4 linked regions of the Coturnix japonica genome follow. The protein of the gene in region 3 purifies or fractionates together with the protein of the main gene of each other region. This does not show direct contact. Links are inferred from orthologs where the notes say so. Each region holds a gene or a part of one and is shown on either strand. Other genes may lie near its edges. The genes, in order: KIF5B, KIF5C, KLC1 and CLSTN1.

Evidence for each region.
Region 1: the proteins of KLC1 (region 3) and KIF5B purify together in Homo sapiens (co-immunoprecipitation; 11 studies listed by BioGRID and IntAct, counting the BioPlex papers as one, with this or other methods). This does not show direct contact. The link is inferred for Coturnix japonica from reciprocal best matches to the Homo sapiens genes KLC1 and KIF5B.
Region 2: the proteins of KLC1 (region 3) and KIF5C purify together in Homo sapiens (co-immunoprecipitation; 4 studies listed by BioGRID and IntAct, counting the BioPlex papers as one, with this or other methods). This does not show direct contact. The link is inferred for Coturnix japonica from reciprocal best matches to the Homo sapiens genes KLC1 and KIF5C.
Region 4: the proteins of KLC1 (region 3) and CLSTN1 purify together in Homo sapiens (co-immunoprecipitation; 3 studies listed by BioGRID and IntAct, with this or other methods). This does not show direct contact. The link is inferred for Coturnix japonica from reciprocal best matches to the Homo sapiens genes KLC1 and CLSTN1.

Annotation. Positions count from the first base shown.
Region 1 is NC_029517.1:12,865,265-12,869,424, forward strand, and holds part of KIF5B (kinesin-1 heavy chain), read left to right. Parts: intron 1-1,281; coding exon 1,282-1,369; intron 1,370-2,581; coding exon 2,582-2,655; intron 2,656-3,224; coding exon 3,225-3,329; intron 3,330-3,668; coding exon 3,669-3,717; intron 3,718-4,005; coding exon 4,006-4,061; intron 4,062-4,156; coding exon 4,157-4,160. UniProt on the Homo sapiens protein: Microtubule-dependent motor required for normal distribution of mitochondria and lysosomes. Can induce formation of neurite-like membrane protrusions in non-neuronal cells in a ZFYVE27-dependent manner.
Region 2 is NC_029522.1:31,111,905-31,116,064, reverse strand, and holds part of KIF5C (kinesin heavy chain), read left to right. Parts: intron 1-59; coding exon 60-208; intron 209-3,148; coding exon 3,149-3,297; intron 3,298-4,160. UniProt on the Homo sapiens protein: Microtubule-associated force-producing protein that may play a role in organelle transport. Has ATPase activity. Involved in synaptic transmission. Mediates dendritic trafficking of mRNAs.
Region 3 is NC_029520.1:45,862,481-45,867,351, forward strand, and holds the start of KLC1 (kinesin light chain 1), read left to right. Parts: upstream 1-1,823; 5' UTR 1,824-2,072; intron 2,073-4,871. UniProt on the Homo sapiens protein: Kinesin is a microtubule-associated force-producing protein that may play a role in organelle transport. The light chain may function in coupling of cargo to the heavy chain or in the modulation of its ATPase activity.
Region 4 is NC_029536.1:2,977,251-2,981,410, forward strand, and holds part of CLSTN1 (calsyntenin-1), read right to left. Parts: coding exon 4,021-4,160; intron 3,290-4,020; coding exon 3,140-3,289; intron 3,047-3,139; coding exon 2,861-3,046; intron 2,544-2,860; coding exon 2,295-2,543; intron 1,744-2,294; coding exon 1,622-1,743; intron 104-1,621; coding exon 1-103. UniProt on the Homo sapiens protein: Postsynaptic adhesion molecule that binds to presynaptic neurexins to mediate both excitatory and inhibitory synapse formation.

The sequences.
Region 1 (4,160 bases), on a different chromosome or scaffold from region 3:
TACCTTGGGGATACTTGGATTTGCTTGTTTGTCTTCTGGTGTACACAGAGATCCGAGTTCCACCTGTAGAGCATACAAGTTTGAGGTGTATTTAAAGCTAGAATGAGTAAATGAGAAAGCCTGTAATTTCCCTACTGTGAAACAAATGTTCAGACTTCAGCACCTTAGGGATAGTTTCTGCCTACTGAGTCTTGTGGTTTCTTGAGCATATTTACACAGTGAACTGTGTAATTATTTTCTTTTTTCCAAGAGGGAGCTCATCTATCTGAATTTCAAGCCCTTTAAGCAGAGTGATATGAGTTGGCTCCGAAAAGCTTTGTTTGGTGTTACGCTAGATGTTATTAAAAGGCAAATGGAAGGTCAGGCTGGGAAAGGGAATGTGGTGAGTGGGTGGGTAAAAGATGGAAGCTAGACTTGTTCTGCTGCCAGGAAGGCCGTCCCACAGGATCCTTGGGGGAGGGGAAGGATGATAATGAATTAAACATAGGCCAAATGGATCATTGAACGGTTACAGTAAGTTCAGTGGTAGGAATTGACTTAAGGCCCTTGGAAACCTCAGCTGTCTGCAAAGATATTAATAAACTCTGAAAGTTCTAGGAAATTTTCAGCTTAGTAAGATGAACTTAATAACTCATCTTTATGGACTGTCAGCTTGTTACAGCTGTTACCAAATCCCCAGTTCTTTTCATAAAGCTGTGTCAGAGCTTCCTCTTTCAGTGTTTTCCTAAAGAAATCTTTGGAAGGTTCCCTTCCTGCAAAGTGGCCTTTTCCTTCTGTTTACAGAGCCTCATTGTAAGGATATCATGCATGGGGAAATGTTCCTTGTGCTGACTGTAGGTGACCTGGATGTTTCCTTTGGTTTGAGATTGTTAACAAATACTATGAAGGCATATTGTGTGTGATGTGATACGAGTTGTTTTTAATAATTTGGGTTTACCAAAGCAGTGGAGAAGAATGAAGTTTTCTCAGAGGTATAGACACTAAGCACTGGTTTACAGTGTAAGTAGAGTAGAGGTCGTGTAGCAGTGTAGTTATGGCAAATAGTTTGGGTTGCACTTAAAAGCCAAACATACTGAATTCAAGGCCTTATTTGTAAGCAAACATGTGAAGATTTAGACACATACATAAGCCGATTTCCTCACTGCGTCCTTCAAGTACTTAAAATAAAACACGAGATCGGACCGAGACCATGTAGGCTGCTTCTAAGCTGTGTGAACAAACACCTTTCAGTTGTGCTTCCCAGGTAGTCTTTTTTTAACAGCCTTTCTTTCTATTTTGCAGTCCAAGCCATATATATTTGACCGTGTATTCCAGTCAAACACATCCCAGGAGCAAGTATACAATGACTGTGCTAAAAAGATTGTCAAAGGTAAGGTGGGATGAACTCTTTGTTTTTGGGAAACACCTTATTTGTGTGGGTTTTTATGTTGAAATCTGGTACCTTCTGTTGCTCCCGTTTACCTTCTGAATGTTTAATAACAGTCATCGTGGTTCAGAGTATAAAATCATCCTCTAGTTGAGGTGATATGATGTCAATACTGAGCCCACTTCTCCAGTTGTTTGCAGCATTTGATGATAATTACCTGTTAGTTTGATTTTTATTTTTTATTTTCAGATCTTGCTAGAGGTTAAAACAATTGGCCTTAAATTAATAAAGGATAGGCTTCTGTCTGTTTGAAAACAACTCGTATGAGTAGTTTTTTTTAATTGGTGTCAGAAAACAGTTATTTTTGTTTGGAGGAATGTAAGGTGAAACTTGGGAAACTTCATGTTTGTTTTGTTTTAACTTTGCAATTATGAGTTACCTGATTTCAGTGCTTATCAGAGTGTACTCTCTCTAAACTTGAACTGTCTAATGGCTTTGTGGCTTCTGGGGCTCAAGTCTTCTAATAGAGAAGGTTATACTACAATGAAGTACCTTATTAAGGAGTTAGGTAACTCCCTCAAAATAAAATTGATTCATTTCTTAAGTAGATCAGTACAAGTTCCAATTGACACAGCTTTAAAACAACTGTATCAAAGCCTTCTTAGGAGTGCGTAAACTATCAGCTGTTAGAGGCAAGACCAGATGAGTGAAGTGTTGAAGGCCCTTACCCTTCAACCTGAAACTCAGAGTTGAGTTGTTCATGGTTTAAAACATAAGCTTATGGCCAAGTGATAAGATGCTGGAAACTTTTAGCTTAGCTCATTCTCTTAATAATCAGATACTCCAGCTTTACTGTGAAGGCAGCAAATAATGTACTGCATAATACAATTTGTTTAAATGGTCAAAGGCTGTCTGTACAATGTGGCAGTTGTATTCATTTACTTCTTATTACCAACTCTCAAGTTGTGTTTTGCTGGCTGAAGGAGCTGCTTCTAATACAGCTTCTGGAAATGCAATCTGTAGTGACTGCATTAAAAGTGCTAAGGGAGAACACTGCTGCCTTCCTCTCCCAGCACCAAGTATTGTAGCGCTTACTTTTCAGTCACTGAATGGCTCAACTTGCTGAACATTTTAGGAATTGCTCACATTCTATTTTATTTGACTTTTGTTTAGGAGAAGGGAATCAGTCCTAATGAAAATATTTTTTTCCTCTAGATGTACTTGAGGGATACAATGGTACAATATTTGCTTACGGGCAGACATCATCTGGAAAGACGCACACTATGGAAGTAAGGCAACTTAAAATTATTTTCTTCTAATATTGTTTTCATCTCTTTTCACCACTGTGGTGTTATATTCCTAGAGATGAGATATTGGCTTGTTTTTATGAAATCATAGAATGGTTGAGGTTGGAAACTATCTTTTAAGATCAGTAGTTCCAACTACTCTGCAGTGGGGATGGAAGTCTTTCATTCGATTAAGTTGCCTAAAGTCCCCATCCACCCTAAATTTGAACAGTTCCAGAAATGAAGCATCTGCATCTTTCATTTTCTTTCCTATTACAAACTTTGGATACCTAAAATATTTTTCATATGTAAGAATGGCAGTTACTGTATTTATTCAGCTATCAAAAGCAGGATTGTTCATGGTAGATTTCTCATCTTTGTGTGTGACGTTTTTGAGGCTGTTCTTTTTGTTTCTAGCAACTTCTGGCCCTAAGTGGATGGCTAAGAGCTTCCTTTGCAGATAAACATAAGTGCATTTTACCCACCAACACTTCAGAGCTATCTTGTTTCACTTTTTATTCTGCCTTCAAATACTTTGTGTATTAATGTTTTTTCATTCCCTTTTCTAAAAGGGGAAGCTTCACGACCCAGATGGAATGGGAATTATTCCAAGAATAGTACAAGATATCTTTAATTATATTTACTCTATGGATGAGAATCTTGAGTTTCATATTAAGGTAATGGTTTCTTTATTTCCTATATTTAATCTATATTAAAATTGGAAGTAGTTTGTTGCGGAATGGATGTTTCATATCTGTTACGAATGCTTGTGAATTGGAAAATATAAAGACAAGTTATTTCAGAAACTGGCTCTACTCAAAGAATAATTGCATTAACACTTTAATCTTGTTTCCATTAAACATTGATGGTAGATAACTTGTGTCAATGCTGTGTATTTTAGTTTGTCCTCGTGGTTGTCAACTAGATATGGCAGTACATGAGAGGTTGTGGTTATTGTACTGAGTCCTTCTGAAGTACATTTTTGTGTTCTAATGCCATTTGTTTCACACTTCTAGGTGTCGTATTTTGAAATATACTTGGATAAAATAAGGGACCTTTTGGATGGTAAGTTTCTTATTTGCTTTGGGCATAGGAAGTAAACTGCTTGGTAGAGAGATTTAAAGAACAAAAGCTTTAGGATGATACTGAGACATATGTGTTATGTTAATAAGTAGCCCATCTCTGATATAGATGCAGCAAAATGAGACCACACGTAGCTAATGTATATAATGCAACTGTAGCTGCAGTAGCGGTTGTTTGATGTATGTTCCATTTTTACTTGGATCTGCTGTAAATGTCTCATTCTCTGAAGGAATCATATGTACCTCAGCTTTAGAACTTTTTCTCTTCCAGTTTCAAAGACCAATCTTTCTGTTCATGAAGACAAAAATAGAGTTCCCTATGTAAAGGTTAGTGTCACTCTGATACTGTTTTGATCTTTTGCTTCCACTGTGCTCCATTTTCTTCTGGCTCATTGCTGTTTTATTTTGATATTACTTTAAAGGGTT
Region 2 (4,160 bases), on a different chromosome or scaffold from region 3:
AATTATAATACTGCTATTTAAAAAATATTGTTCATGCATCTTATTTGTATTTTGATTAGAAAACTCATGTTCCATACCGAGACAGCAAAATGACCCGGATACTTCAGGATTCCCTTGGTGGAAACTGCAGAACCACCATTGTTATATGCTGTTCTCCTTCTATTTTCAATGAAGCAGAAACAAAGTCGACCCTGATGTTTGGACAGCGGTGAGTCTTACTTGGCATTAAGATAGATAACTCTCATTGGAGCTCTTCCATGTGTTCTGAGCCGGCTGTGGAGGTCATGATTTCTGAAGTGGTTAAAAAACCAGAACTGAATAACTTGAGCCTCTTTATTCTGCATGGTACCAGTAAAAGAAATGTTGGTGTTGGCCAACAGCTGCTCTGCTTTGGAAAGGATGAAGATTTCTTGTAGTTTTTTGAAGTTTTGTGGAGAAGTTAATGGTGTTGGGCAGTTTTCTGCTGGCTGTCTCACTGGAAAACGTTGGGTATTGCTCTGTTTGGTACTGCTGTTGTCACTTATAAGATGTATCTTCTCCTTGAATGGCATCTCAGTGATCATTGTGATTTTTTTGAACTGTTAATTTAGAAAACTGAAGAATGTGGATGCAGGGTAAATGCTGACAGTTTTGATGGGTTACTACGATGGCTTTACACGCTTAGAACATCAGTAATTATTTAGGAGCAAGCAAGGGTTAAAGAAACGTGGAAATGGTTGGAAGGAAGATTTCTCTTGTGTGTATATCATTGGCTGTAGTCATATGAAATTCAGTTGGAAAGGTTGCCAGAACAGGTCAGGCTCATTACATAGTTATTTTTATTGTAACTAAAGAGAACTCTGATATGTTGGAGTGTCATTTGCTTTATGTAGTGTGTATTTATTTATGTAATAGCAAAATGAAAACAATTCGAGCAACTTACGATTGCTTGAGAGATTATTTGTTGAGGAGTTTGTGCAATAATAGAATATATCTGGTCGGGAAATAGGTTGTGTCTTCCACTTGGCATAAGTTTGGCATTAAAATTAACACTGTTATGGAGCATTTTATATTGGAAATTAAAATCTTGTATAAAAGACAAATCTGGCAATCTTATATTAGTTCATCTCCCTGCTGTTAGTCTTTAAGGTGAGCTCTTCCTTACATTTTGTTGAAGGAAGATGAACTCTGCAGTTCATTCACATAAGAGCACATAAAATACAGGATGGGCCCTGAAGATGCAGTTGGTGTAGCCTCTCTTAAAGGACAGCTGTGGGGACTGAGGGGGATGCTGTAGGTTAAGGCTGGCAGACACTTTCTGCAGTGCTTTCCCCATCTGGCTCTTCCAGAAACAAATCATGTGCTAGAGGAGGAAGGTTTTCTCTTTCTAATCCATAGAAGTGCTCCTTGCTGAGGACTAGGATGTCATCTGAAAGAAGTGGAGAGAGGGCTGCATTCTTTGCGGGGCAGCTTGATTAGTGAGTCATGTGTTGGTCATTTTGTGGTTTGCTGCTTAGAAGCTCTAGAGTTGTGCTGAAGCAGAAGGTCCTGGGGAGCATTTAATTGGGAGGGAGGACACGCAAAGAGGAGGACTGCTGAGGTGGCAGACCTGCATAGGAGCACACCTACTGTATGTGCACAGTGTTGTTTGTCAGCACTTTGAACAGCACTATTGCTGTCTGTGGGGAATGGTTTCATTTCCAGGCCCTTTGGCTGCGGTATTCCATTTTTCTGATGTGGCAGGATTAAGGGCTGAGTAATGTTAAAGGAAAGGTGAGTGGCTCATGGTTGATTACCAGATCCTCCATTTTGCCAAGCAATAGAGAAATAGCACCATTAAAGTAAGTGCCAGGAGTAAAATCCATCTTCATAGACCCAGCTGCAAATTCATGGGCTCCTCTGTCAGCAATGAGTCAGTTTCTTCTTTTTTCTTCTTTTTTTTGGTGTTTTTATGTTGTTTTTAATTGTAGTTGTATGTGCTTCATCTATCAGCAGTGCAGTGCAGTCAGTGTATTTTATAGTGTGGCATTTTTTCCCCAGTGCGCTTCAGTGAGTAGAAATGTGAGCCATGCTTTTAGCAGAATATGAGACAATATGTTAAAGCCAAGCATTAGGTGTCTGCATCGTTCAGAAGAACAAGGTTATTTTAAATTCTTCTAAGGTAATTAAACTTCTGCATGTCACATAGTGCAAGTCACACTTTTTGGTGACCCTGCTTGTGACGGGGGGCTGAAACTAGGTGATCATTATGGTCCTTTTCAACCCAGGCCATTCTATTGTTCTGTGATTCTATGATAAGTCACCAGGGCACAGTTTGGGATATGATAAGCAGGGATGGGAGCATTTCCCTGCTGACAAAAGAAAGCTTCAGGATTTAAAGTGATTGGCCATATTTTTTTCACTCAGAGGGTGGTGACGCACTGTTCACAGGTTGCCCAAGGAGGCTGTGGATGCCCCATCCCTGCAGGCATTCAAGGCCAGGCTGGATGTGGCTCTGGGCAGCCTGGGCTGCTGGTTGGTGACCCTGCACACAGCAGGGGGTTGGAGCTGGATGAGCACTGTGGTGTTGTTCAGCCTGGGCCAGTCTAGGATTCTATGATATTTAGAAGGTGATTCAGAATCAAGAAGTGAAGCCATGGAGAAAACGATAAAAGATCACGTCTGGGACTCAGTAGTTTCACAATAGTGAAATGGTGAACCCAGAACTGCTTCTCTTAGAATAAATCTGCAGAGAAAGATCCGTGCCTGAGTGGAGGCAGAAAAATTCTATTGAGGCTTCGATGGAAAGACTGTGAGAGTGGTGAGGTGCTGGCACAGCTGCCCAGAGAGGCTGTGGATGCCCCGTCCATCCCTGGAGGTGTTCAAGGCCAGGTTGGATGGGGCCCTGGGCAGCCTGGGCTGGTATTCAGTGGGGAGGTTGGTGGCCCTGCCTGTGGTGGGGGGTTGGAGCTTCGTGATCCTTGAAGCCCCTTCCAACCCAACCATTCTGTGATTCTAGGTAATAACACTGCTGAGGTTTTGAGAGAAAATGGAACTGTGACACTGCATTGCAGGAAATGAACTGCAAATGTTTCATAGTTTCCCTTGACGTAATATAAAAATTTCCAAATCCCAGCCTTGCATTGAGATAGAAGTTACAGAGCAGCTGACACCTGTTTTTGTTATGCAGAGCAAAGACCATTAAGAACACAGTCTGTGTCAATGTTGAGCTCACTGCAGAACAGTGGAAGAAAAAGTATGAGAAAGAAAAAGAGAAAAACAAGAGTCTAAAGAATGTTATCCAGCATCTGGAGCTGGAACTGAACAGGTGGAGAAATGGTATGTATGGGAAAATAGGAATGGGGGCATTTCTGCAGATTTAAGTTATGTGTGTTAAACTCCAAAGTGCGCAGCCTGCTTAGCACCTTTGGCCACACCGCTGCCTGTTGCTGGCCACAGACTTGCCAGCATTAAGTGAGAACAAATATGTGATTTAATGATTAGCCACAAATGGCTTTGCACTTGTCAAGTCTGCTTTTGAATAACATGGATAAAATCTCTACTGTCTGTACTTAAAAGATAATCCCTGCCCCTTATGGCTGCAAAGCAGTGCTACTTTCTTTCACCTGCTGTGCTGTTTCCTTGCCTTTCACATCAGGTAGTTACCTAATGGCTGCTTTCTGCTTCTTCCTCTGGGGGGTTGGGCCACTTCAGGGATAAGGGATGTCTCCCTTATCCACATGGTAAAATTGCTATGGAGACAGTGAGTCTGTTGTGCGTGTTGAAGAGCACTGGGAATTGTTGGCACTTATATGTTCTGCATTTCATTCAGTGTTTGCTGAATGTGATAATAATTTCAATGATTTCCTTCCCATCCTGGGAAGGATCTTTAAGAAGAACCTGTGTACATACATCCTATATGCTGTTTAAACACAAAATGCTGCCTCTGTTGTTTTGTCTAAATATACAGAGCGCCTCTTCCCCTACATCTTTTCTCATTGGTGTTACCAAGCCATACATTAAATGCATTCCAATTATTATTGATTTCTTGTCTGACCTTCTGGAATAGCATCATTTGGAAGGATACTGTGCCAAAGGAGGCTCTTTCCAAATGAAACTATAGCAAAAGCAGTATCTTGAGTATAAAATAAAAGACCAATGCATAAATACTCCATTGACATAGCTTGTTCTGTACATTCAGA
Region 3 (4,871 bases):
GGGGAGAACTGACGTTTTGGGTCAAGAAAAAGCTTGAGGAAGAAGCAAATCTCTTGTGTCTGCTTCTCCTCCACTGTGTGCCATAACCAGAGGTAAGCAATACTGCACATTAGTTCCATTGCAATAAGCAGCCTTGCTACACGACACAGCTTGTAGTGTGTGCTGCTTGTGTGGGAAACTGCAAGCATGCATATACATCATTAGGCAGCGTATTATGAATCAGGGTCAAAGCTGGAGTAGGTGCTTTGTTCAAGAGATACTCATTTCCCTGGGGTGAGCAGCTAATTGCAGGAAATCTTTGAAAGCAAATGTGTGATAGGAAGAAAGCAATGAATATTGTTTATTCAAAAGATAGGAGGGGTTCCTTTGAATCTGTTCTCTTGCATAATCATGTAATTAGGGCAAGTTCTATTTTTAATTAAATCTCTTGCATATTCATGAAAATTCTCTGAACTTGTGGACCAGCTGACATAACTCTTCATTTTAAAAACGTGTATAAAGGAATGGTTATTCATTTTTTGCCCTTTCTTATTACTTTCAGACACCTACTTCCCACCATTACACTCAGTTGGCCAGGCCACTGCCCAGACTTCCCTGTCAATACTACAGTGCCCTTTTCCAACCCCACAGGGACTCTCTGCTTGTGCATTCTGCAGCCCCATTTGTTTTGCTGGGCTTCTCTAACTACAGCACCAGTTGTGACTCCTTCTTCCATCTCCGCTTTAGAGTCCTGCCATTCTGTAGAGCCCATTGATGTTTTCTTTGAGGACAAACAGATGTCAGCACAGCTTTCCTTGTGTCTCTCAGAATTCACCACGTAGGTGAGGCCGCACACTCTGATTCACCGCTACATCTCCATATTTCTATAAGCTTATGATTCATATCTATATGTAATATGTACTGCAGGAGCTGCGCGGCGTTCAGATGATAATGCACCATAGTATTGTCTAGACATTAATAACACTTTATAGTTAGGCTGTCATCATTCCCCGATGACTCCCTACACGCATAGCAGTGCACTGTCATATTTAACTGTATTTTTCATCCTAGAACTCCCGTTTCTTCCACCATCATCACAGAATCACACAGAATCACAGAATGACCCGGATTGGAAGGGACCTCAAGGATCATGTAGTTCCAATCCCCCTGCCTGGCAGGGCCACCAAACATACACCTTTACTAGATCAGGTTGCTCAGGAGACCCCATAGATCCCCACAGAGACCCCATAGATCCCCATAGATCCCCCATAGATCAGGTTGCCCAGGGCCCCGTCCAACCTGGCCTTGAACACCTCCAAGGACGGGGCATCCACAACCTCCCTGGGCAGCCTGTTCCAGGGCCTAACCACTCTTCTAGTAAAGAACTTCCCCCTAACATCCAACCTAAATCTTCCCTCTTTTAACTTAAAACCATTTCCCCTAGTCCTGCTATTATCAGCCCTTTCCAAGAGTTCACTCCCCTCCTGGGAGTAAGTTCCCTTCAGGTACTGAAAGGCTGCAATGAGGTCACCCCGCAACCTTCTCTTCTCCAGGCTGAACAAACCCAACTCCCTCAGCCTGTCCTCATAGGGGAGGTGCTCCAGCCCCCTGAACATGTACCCAGTGGAGCACAGAGAAAACGGCCACCATTGTACTTTATGAAATGAAACGTGAAGCTACAAAGACACATTTCCTGCTCTCCCGCCGCAGGCCGGCAGCCATGACATCATACAGGGAGGGGAAGCGGCGGGAAAGGAGGGCGCGCGTGGGCTGCTGGGAGAGGGGAGGGCGGCCGCCATGTTGGGCGGGGCGGGCCGGGCGGAGCGCCGGGCGGGGCCGGGCGGGGCGCGGCGGTAGCGGCCGGGGCGGCGGCTGCGTGCAGCTGTCAGCGCCCGCTCCTCGGGGGCCGGGTCGGGCCCGTCGGCTCCTTACAGGTAAAGCCGAAGACACGGCGGTGCCCGCTGTCTTCCTTTCATCGAAATCCTTTTCCTTCCTTCCGCCCGTCGCTGACATCCTCCTCCGGCCTCCCCGGGCTGCGCGGCCCCCGCCGGCTCAGCGAGCGCTGCGCACATCCGAGCCTGCAGCACCGAGCGGTGAGCGGGGCACGGCGGGGCGGGGAGGGTCGGGGCTTTTCGGTTCCATCTTCGCCTTCCTCCTCCATCCCGGTTCTCAGACAACAAAAGGCTGCTCCCCGCTGACAGCTCCGCCGGTCGCGCTTTGTCCCCCCCGCGGGGCTGCGGCCGGCACCGCCCAGGGGGAGAGCGGGCCGGGCTGAGGGCAAGGCGTGAAATGGTGGAACGGAGGGAGGAAGAATGAAGGGAGGAAGGCGGGGACGGCGCTGATCGTGACCGAGCGGTGCAGGTCACCGTGATATGCCCCCTTCGGCATCCTTGTCTACAGTGAGGTAAATGGTGAGGGGAGAAATAACGCCGGTGCCTGACCGACCTCACTGGTACTGTCCTTTGGGCAGAGGTGAATTAGGAAGGTGCTTTATCCTTCTGGCTTGCTGCTGTTTTGGGTAGAGAGATGTCAGGTTGGTACAGCCGCACAGCGCTTGTGCGTAAGCACCGCGCCTCCTCCCTGTGTGCTGAGCTGAGCTGAGCTGAGAGAAGCCCGTTGTGATGGCCAGGGCAGCAGCACCCAGATGGACACACACTGCTGGGAGCCTGCTCCATCCATCAGGTGCTTCTGCGCTTTGTTTTTTTTATCCCCCATTAAAGATTTCCTTTGTTATATCCTCCGTCCTCATTGTAACAGCAGCATTCGAGTACAGAATCAGAAAGCAAAAGGAGCTGGGGGGGGGGGGGGGGAGGAAAAAAAGTGAAAGTTTGTTCTTATGCTCCACTTTAAACAGCAGAACGATGTCATTGGTAATAGAAGTTATTTTTTAGAGTCTTACATAAAAACGCCTGGGACGATGATACTTAAAATGTTCTTTTCGTGTTGCAAATGGCAGAAGGTTTGGTAACAATTAGTCTGGGAAGTAATTGTCTGTTTCACTTCCCCTTTTGTGTTTGTACTTCTCTGAAATAGGAAACATGCCCAAAGGGTGTGCATTGGAAAGCTGGAAAGGAACCTTCGAGATTTACACAGCATTTCAATATACAAAAATCAAATGAAATCAAATATCAGATCAAATCCAAACCTTCTTGAATTTGGGATTGATTTCAAACCGCTCTGGGAAATGACATGATTTTAATTGATTCTGAATTCCAAAGCTTCAGCGAAACGTGATAGAGGATATTATAACCCCGGGATTATAGAGACAATTGAAAGAAACACATTCAGCGTTTAGTGGAAGCAGAGAGGAAACTGATCTCTGTGCTGGTTCGGAGCAGGCCTCATGTTTTGAAAGGTGTTGCTGTGATTTAATTTTCTTTGTGGTTTAAGACAATATTTTTGTGACATATCCATGGATGTAGAAAACTCCAGTTCCAATTAGGTAAGAACTTAATGCCGAACCAGGTGGCAAAGTGCAGGGAACTGAAATGGTGAGTTCCCGAAGTCACACAACAATGCGGTATCACTTCTGCATCGTGTTGCAGTGAAGTTTGGCAGCATTTCTGTTCCTGATGGGTGGTGATGGAAGTGGGCACCTCCATTAATCTCACATTCTGACAGCAGTGTAAGTCTGGGCTCCGTTCATTTTCGAATCAAAGAAAACACGCTATTGTAAGTAATTTTAAAAGAAAATAAAGTTGTCCCCTGAATGTATATTATAAAGTTGCTTTGTTTGCTGCTCACTGCATTATTGGGATGTACCAACGATGCCTTATGAATGGAAACTAATCTTAAAAAGCCTTTGCTCAACAAAAGAATAGTGCACAGAATAGTGAATGAAATTTGTGGCAGTCTACTAAATGTTTTGACATACAATAATCAAAATGCTGTTCGAGGGAGGCGTAAGGGGTATAAAAGCAATTGCTGCTTGCTCTGTTGATGAAGAACGTACCATAACGAAGTCAGAAAGCCCTCACTTGTGTGCTACCCATAGGCTGTGTACATTTAAACACAGGGAGAGATCAGCGTATCTACGTGTGCATAAAGACATACCTACCTATGTCCCTTAATTAGGAGCCTGGGGAAATGCTGAACCCTCATGCTCTGTGCTGAGTCCACATAATGCAGCTTCTGTTTCTCTTGAGACATGTGGGCTGTGCAGATACTCTTTCATTTCTTACTCTGCTCGGTATCTCTGGAAGACGTGTAAGTAGATTTATGCTGGTATTAGCAGCTTCTTTCCAGATGCTTAGCTCATAATTATTTTAAGACTCAATGAAGTGTACAAATAACTTTTAAAGTACTGTTATTCTGTGATTCTGTTTTCATAAAGGGAGTGAAAAAATGAGTATGGGTACATTCATGACGATTCAATATGTATTTTTGCATTTAATGTTGAACCGTGTGGTAGCAAACAAAGATGAAGGTGAGAGTTTATTTAAAGGAACCTTTTGCTGTCCGTGTGCCTCAGGGTACAGTTCAGCATGACACATCTGCCATAAAGCTGGGATCTGACCAATTCCATCATCATTGCAATAGAAGTGGCTACATAGAAGCGTTTATTGTAGCATAATCTGCATAATATTTTATACTTTCAAAGTATTTTTTCATCTATGAAAACACAGTATTTACCTTGACCAAAGTTTAGGGAAAAAACACATATTTCTTTTAGATGTTAACTGTTGTTTTCCTTAAGACAAAATCATTGGGCATGCAGTGTATGATGTATATACTTCCTGGTAGCCAAGTACTAGTGGAAGGCAAACGGCTTATTTTAAAAGAAGTATTTTGGCCTCAAAATAGAGGCAGTTATATCCTGAGTCATGCTCAGCTTGAGGTAGTGAGGCTCTCCCGGTCGTTTCTTTAGTGGAACGTTTTCTGTCTAATAGCAG
Region 4 (4,160 bases), on a different chromosome or scaffold from region 3:
CTTCAGTCACTGGGAAAGGATCGTATGAAACACCATCTACATAAAGTGTTACTGCAGGAAATTCAACATTGAGGACGTAATGGTGCCATTCCTTGTCACAAACCTAAATAAAAGAAGTAGGAAAAATTGTTTTAATATTAAAAAAAAAAAAAAAAAGGATTACAGTATATTCTGCGAGCTGAATATACACACACATCTATAACTTCTTTGTATGCACAGCTGCAACATTAAGTTTCAGTTCGTAGTGGCTCTAGCATAAGAGCAGGTAGCTGACACCTCAAAACATTTACAGATTTACAAATAGTACCTGAAAATTTCATTCAAGAGCCTTTAAGTTTTCCCTACTGGATCTATATCTAAATAAAAAATATTTTAATATATTTATATTTATATTTATATTTATATTTATTTGTGAGGGCTTCTCCAAAAGCAGTGCCTCCTACCTTATTTTGTTGGTCCACAACATCAGAGGCAGATATTAGTGGTATGATAGTTGAGCCTTCCTGCCAATATTTTTTTTCCATTTTGTTGCTGTGTGACAGACAGCAGCAGAGGGGCAGTCTGTAAAGAAACCTGCTTTAGTAAGAAAGTGGACTAGTTGACTTCTGGAAGTCTCTCCTAACCCCTGTGATTCTGTGATATATATATATATATATATNTGGATCTGATGCACATTTTGCAAACATCCACATGTAGACATTCACCATTAAAACAATATACACTGCTCTGTACAGAACATAGCAGGATATTTCAAACCATCTCAGAACGTAACTCATGTCAGTTCTGGTGAGACCCAGAGGGCTGGAAAAGCACATCAAATATTTAGTCCCTTTTGTCTGATTCTTCACTATTGTAATCATCATTAATTCACAGAAATAAACTCTGCAGACTGTAGTAATGCCAAAGGAAAGACTTGGCATTATAGCACCTGCTTTCAAATGTAAAAAAACTAAGATTAGACAAACAGAAAGAACACAGACAGCTCTTATCCCAAACAGGGGAAAGTACCTGCATCCCTAAGAGGAGTATTGCTCTATTTCTGTGCAGTAAATACCAAATTATGCAAATCGGCTCATCTCTATTTACAATATATGTACCTACTTCTGGCAATGTGTAAAAGGTCACAGATTTTATTCCAGTGTGAGGAAGTATTAAGACGTTCTTCTTTTATCCCATTAAACACTTTGATCAGCAACAGCGCTGCATGCTCAGAAGTAATTTTGTTATAAACAAACTGGAATGCATATGCCTCCTGTTTTCATATTCATTGTGTTACAGTGTATTTAGTGAAGATAACCAACACAACAGCTGAAGTTTGGCATTTTACTTTCATACATAAATCCACACTTCGCTGCCTTTCAGGACAATGACTCGGACTTTATTTCATGAGCATCCCATTGGATTTAATTAAAACACTAAAGCAAGTAGCAAGTTAAAATCAAGTTGAACAGGCATCTATCCCTGACACTCATCACAAAGTAAATACCACTGGGTTCTACAGAAGTCAGTATCAGGAGTCTGGAGTTGTAAATAGTACTTCTTAATAATTACCTCATTAGAGAGTTCAGGCTCCAGTGTATTTCACTGTATTCTATCATTTTACCAGTCATTCCAAACTTACTTGGTTTAGCTTCCAGTGGAATTCTGCAGGCTTGTATGTCTTTCCCTCTGAAGGATCTTGCCGGAAGAGGAAAACAAGGCGGCAGTTGTGCACATACAGTGTGTAGTGGTGTCGATTCATATCTGCACAAGAGTTTCAAGTATTGTCATTCTCTAAGTATTAGGCACTCAAAAAAAAAAAAATAAAATTCACCATTTCTGAATATTCCTATTTAAATGGACAGTAATTGATAAAAAAAACGCACAAGCAAACCAGATATGTTAAGAGAGACAGTATCTCCATCTAGAAAAAAATATATACTGCAGTCAATGCTGTCACTAAGCCTGATACGTGTATCTTAAGGATTTTTGGCAGTACTGAGAATAAGGCTATTTGTGGAGATATAAAAATTAGATTTCTTTGCCAGAATAACACACCTACTATGATGAAATGAAATGCGTAACATAAATAAAGTCAGATAAACAAGCCTAACTCATTTCAGCTGAAGCTAGGTAATTTAAGTGCACACCTCTACAGGTAAATACAGTAAAGAACAGCTTTGCAGTTCACTTCCTTTCACTTCCAAGAAAAACCTAGAAAAATCTATAGAAAACACTTAAAGTTCCCACAGATGCTATCACAGCATATAAAACCAAAACAAATTAGATTGTTCATACTTCGTGTATCGACAAACCTGTCTTGTCTGAATTGCAAAGAATTGTCTCTTTCTCTTTGGTTCCAGGGCCATGTCTCATCCACACTGAAATCATGAAGGGTTCTTTCATATTGACTGTGACAACACCATCTGGAATCTTCACAGCCTGTGTGCCATTAAACTCAAAGACTTGGTCACTGTCATGACCATTATCAGTAGGAAGTCCTATCGTCCAGTTCGCAGCACTACTTGGAGAAGGAAGCAATTCAGCTGTGCCAGAAGCTGCACCTACAATAAAAATGCTCACATGAAAACAAGGTAGTAACTAGAAAGATCACAGCAAGCTTCATATCTAACAGCTTTTAATGAGCATTAGTTTTACTGCCAGTATTATGTGTTATCATCACATATCAGGCAAATCTCCTATTGAATAATGTGGCATTAACATTAAACATATCTAATATTACCAGCTGAAGAGATCTGCATGAGAACACCACAGTGAACCCAAGCATCCCCTCTCACATCATCGACTAATAAAACTGCACATCTTCTAACATAATATTCAGCCCATAATAAGCACTTTATCAGAACAAAAGCATCCTTACCACAGAGTCTGTGAATGGATTTCTCAGAATAGGTGTCTCTATCGCAGCCTTTCCCAATATGATTGGTTTCTAGCTCAACTGTTGCCTGAATTGAGGTTATTGGCTCATCACATGTGTCCAAACGCATACTTGGGAAGAGTGCTAAAGAACCAGTACCAGGTTCATATTCTATTCTTTTGCTCCAACCTGTATAATTATTCAAAGAAAAAACATTAAAAAAAATCCCTCCTGTTTAACTGAAGGCACTGCCAAAGCAGATAGGAAGGAGCTCAAACTAACCTTGCCAGCCAGGCTTGCATGTAGGCTTAATACTAATTTTAACCAATACATCTTCAGCAGCTCTCTTCTTCCCACAGTCATATGCAGTTACTGTCAGTTTATACTGGTGCTCTTTGCCATAGCTTAACTTTTCTGTGTTTTTTATATAACCTGGAAAAAAAAAAGGTGATATTAAGAAATGAATATTTCAGGGTCACTGCTGTGTTAAATCCATACAGGTACCCACCCTATGTACTTTATACTGGTAACAAGACTTTAGCAGCAACACACAATAGACTTTCACTACCTGTGCTTTCAGTGCTAGACATAAGGTCCAGATATTTAAAAATCATATATATACAGAAGATAAGTATAAATATACAGAACAACAAGTATATACTTATCAGGCTCATCACAGTATACTATACTGCATTATATAATATACATATATATAGTATTTAACAGTATTATATTACTCCAAATTAAACTATTCACAAGTGGTAACTGGTAAATAAACTTTATCAGATATCTGTTTCATCTGCAGACCTTCAGAAATGTGAATACCTCAAAAATTCAACCTAAAGTCAGATAAAAACTGTCTTGTTTTGCTTGGCCAGGTCCCCTGGACTCCTGGAAATAGTCCACAGATCACAGACTGAATGGAAATGACCTAAACAAAACAAAACACTACACTACACTTCAACCCCAATACACTGTAAACTTCAGAGCCACATGTAAACATCTCACATGGAAAAAACACACTAACAGAATCCTATTTTTGAAAGCATCACAGGAAAGAGTTAAAGCAGGGTTGCTGCAGTTTTATGCTGATCAATTTGAAGCCCTATGCCTAAGGCAGTGAATGACAGTAATTCCAACTCTGTCTTGCATCACATTCTTACCGTCTTTGTCAATAGCGAAAGGAACATCCGGAGTTACGATTTCATAGCTGCAGATCTGGCTGAACTGAGGTGAACAATCTGCATCCACCGCTTCCACTTTCAGGATGTTATCATACCTCTTCCCCTCAATAACGGTTGCC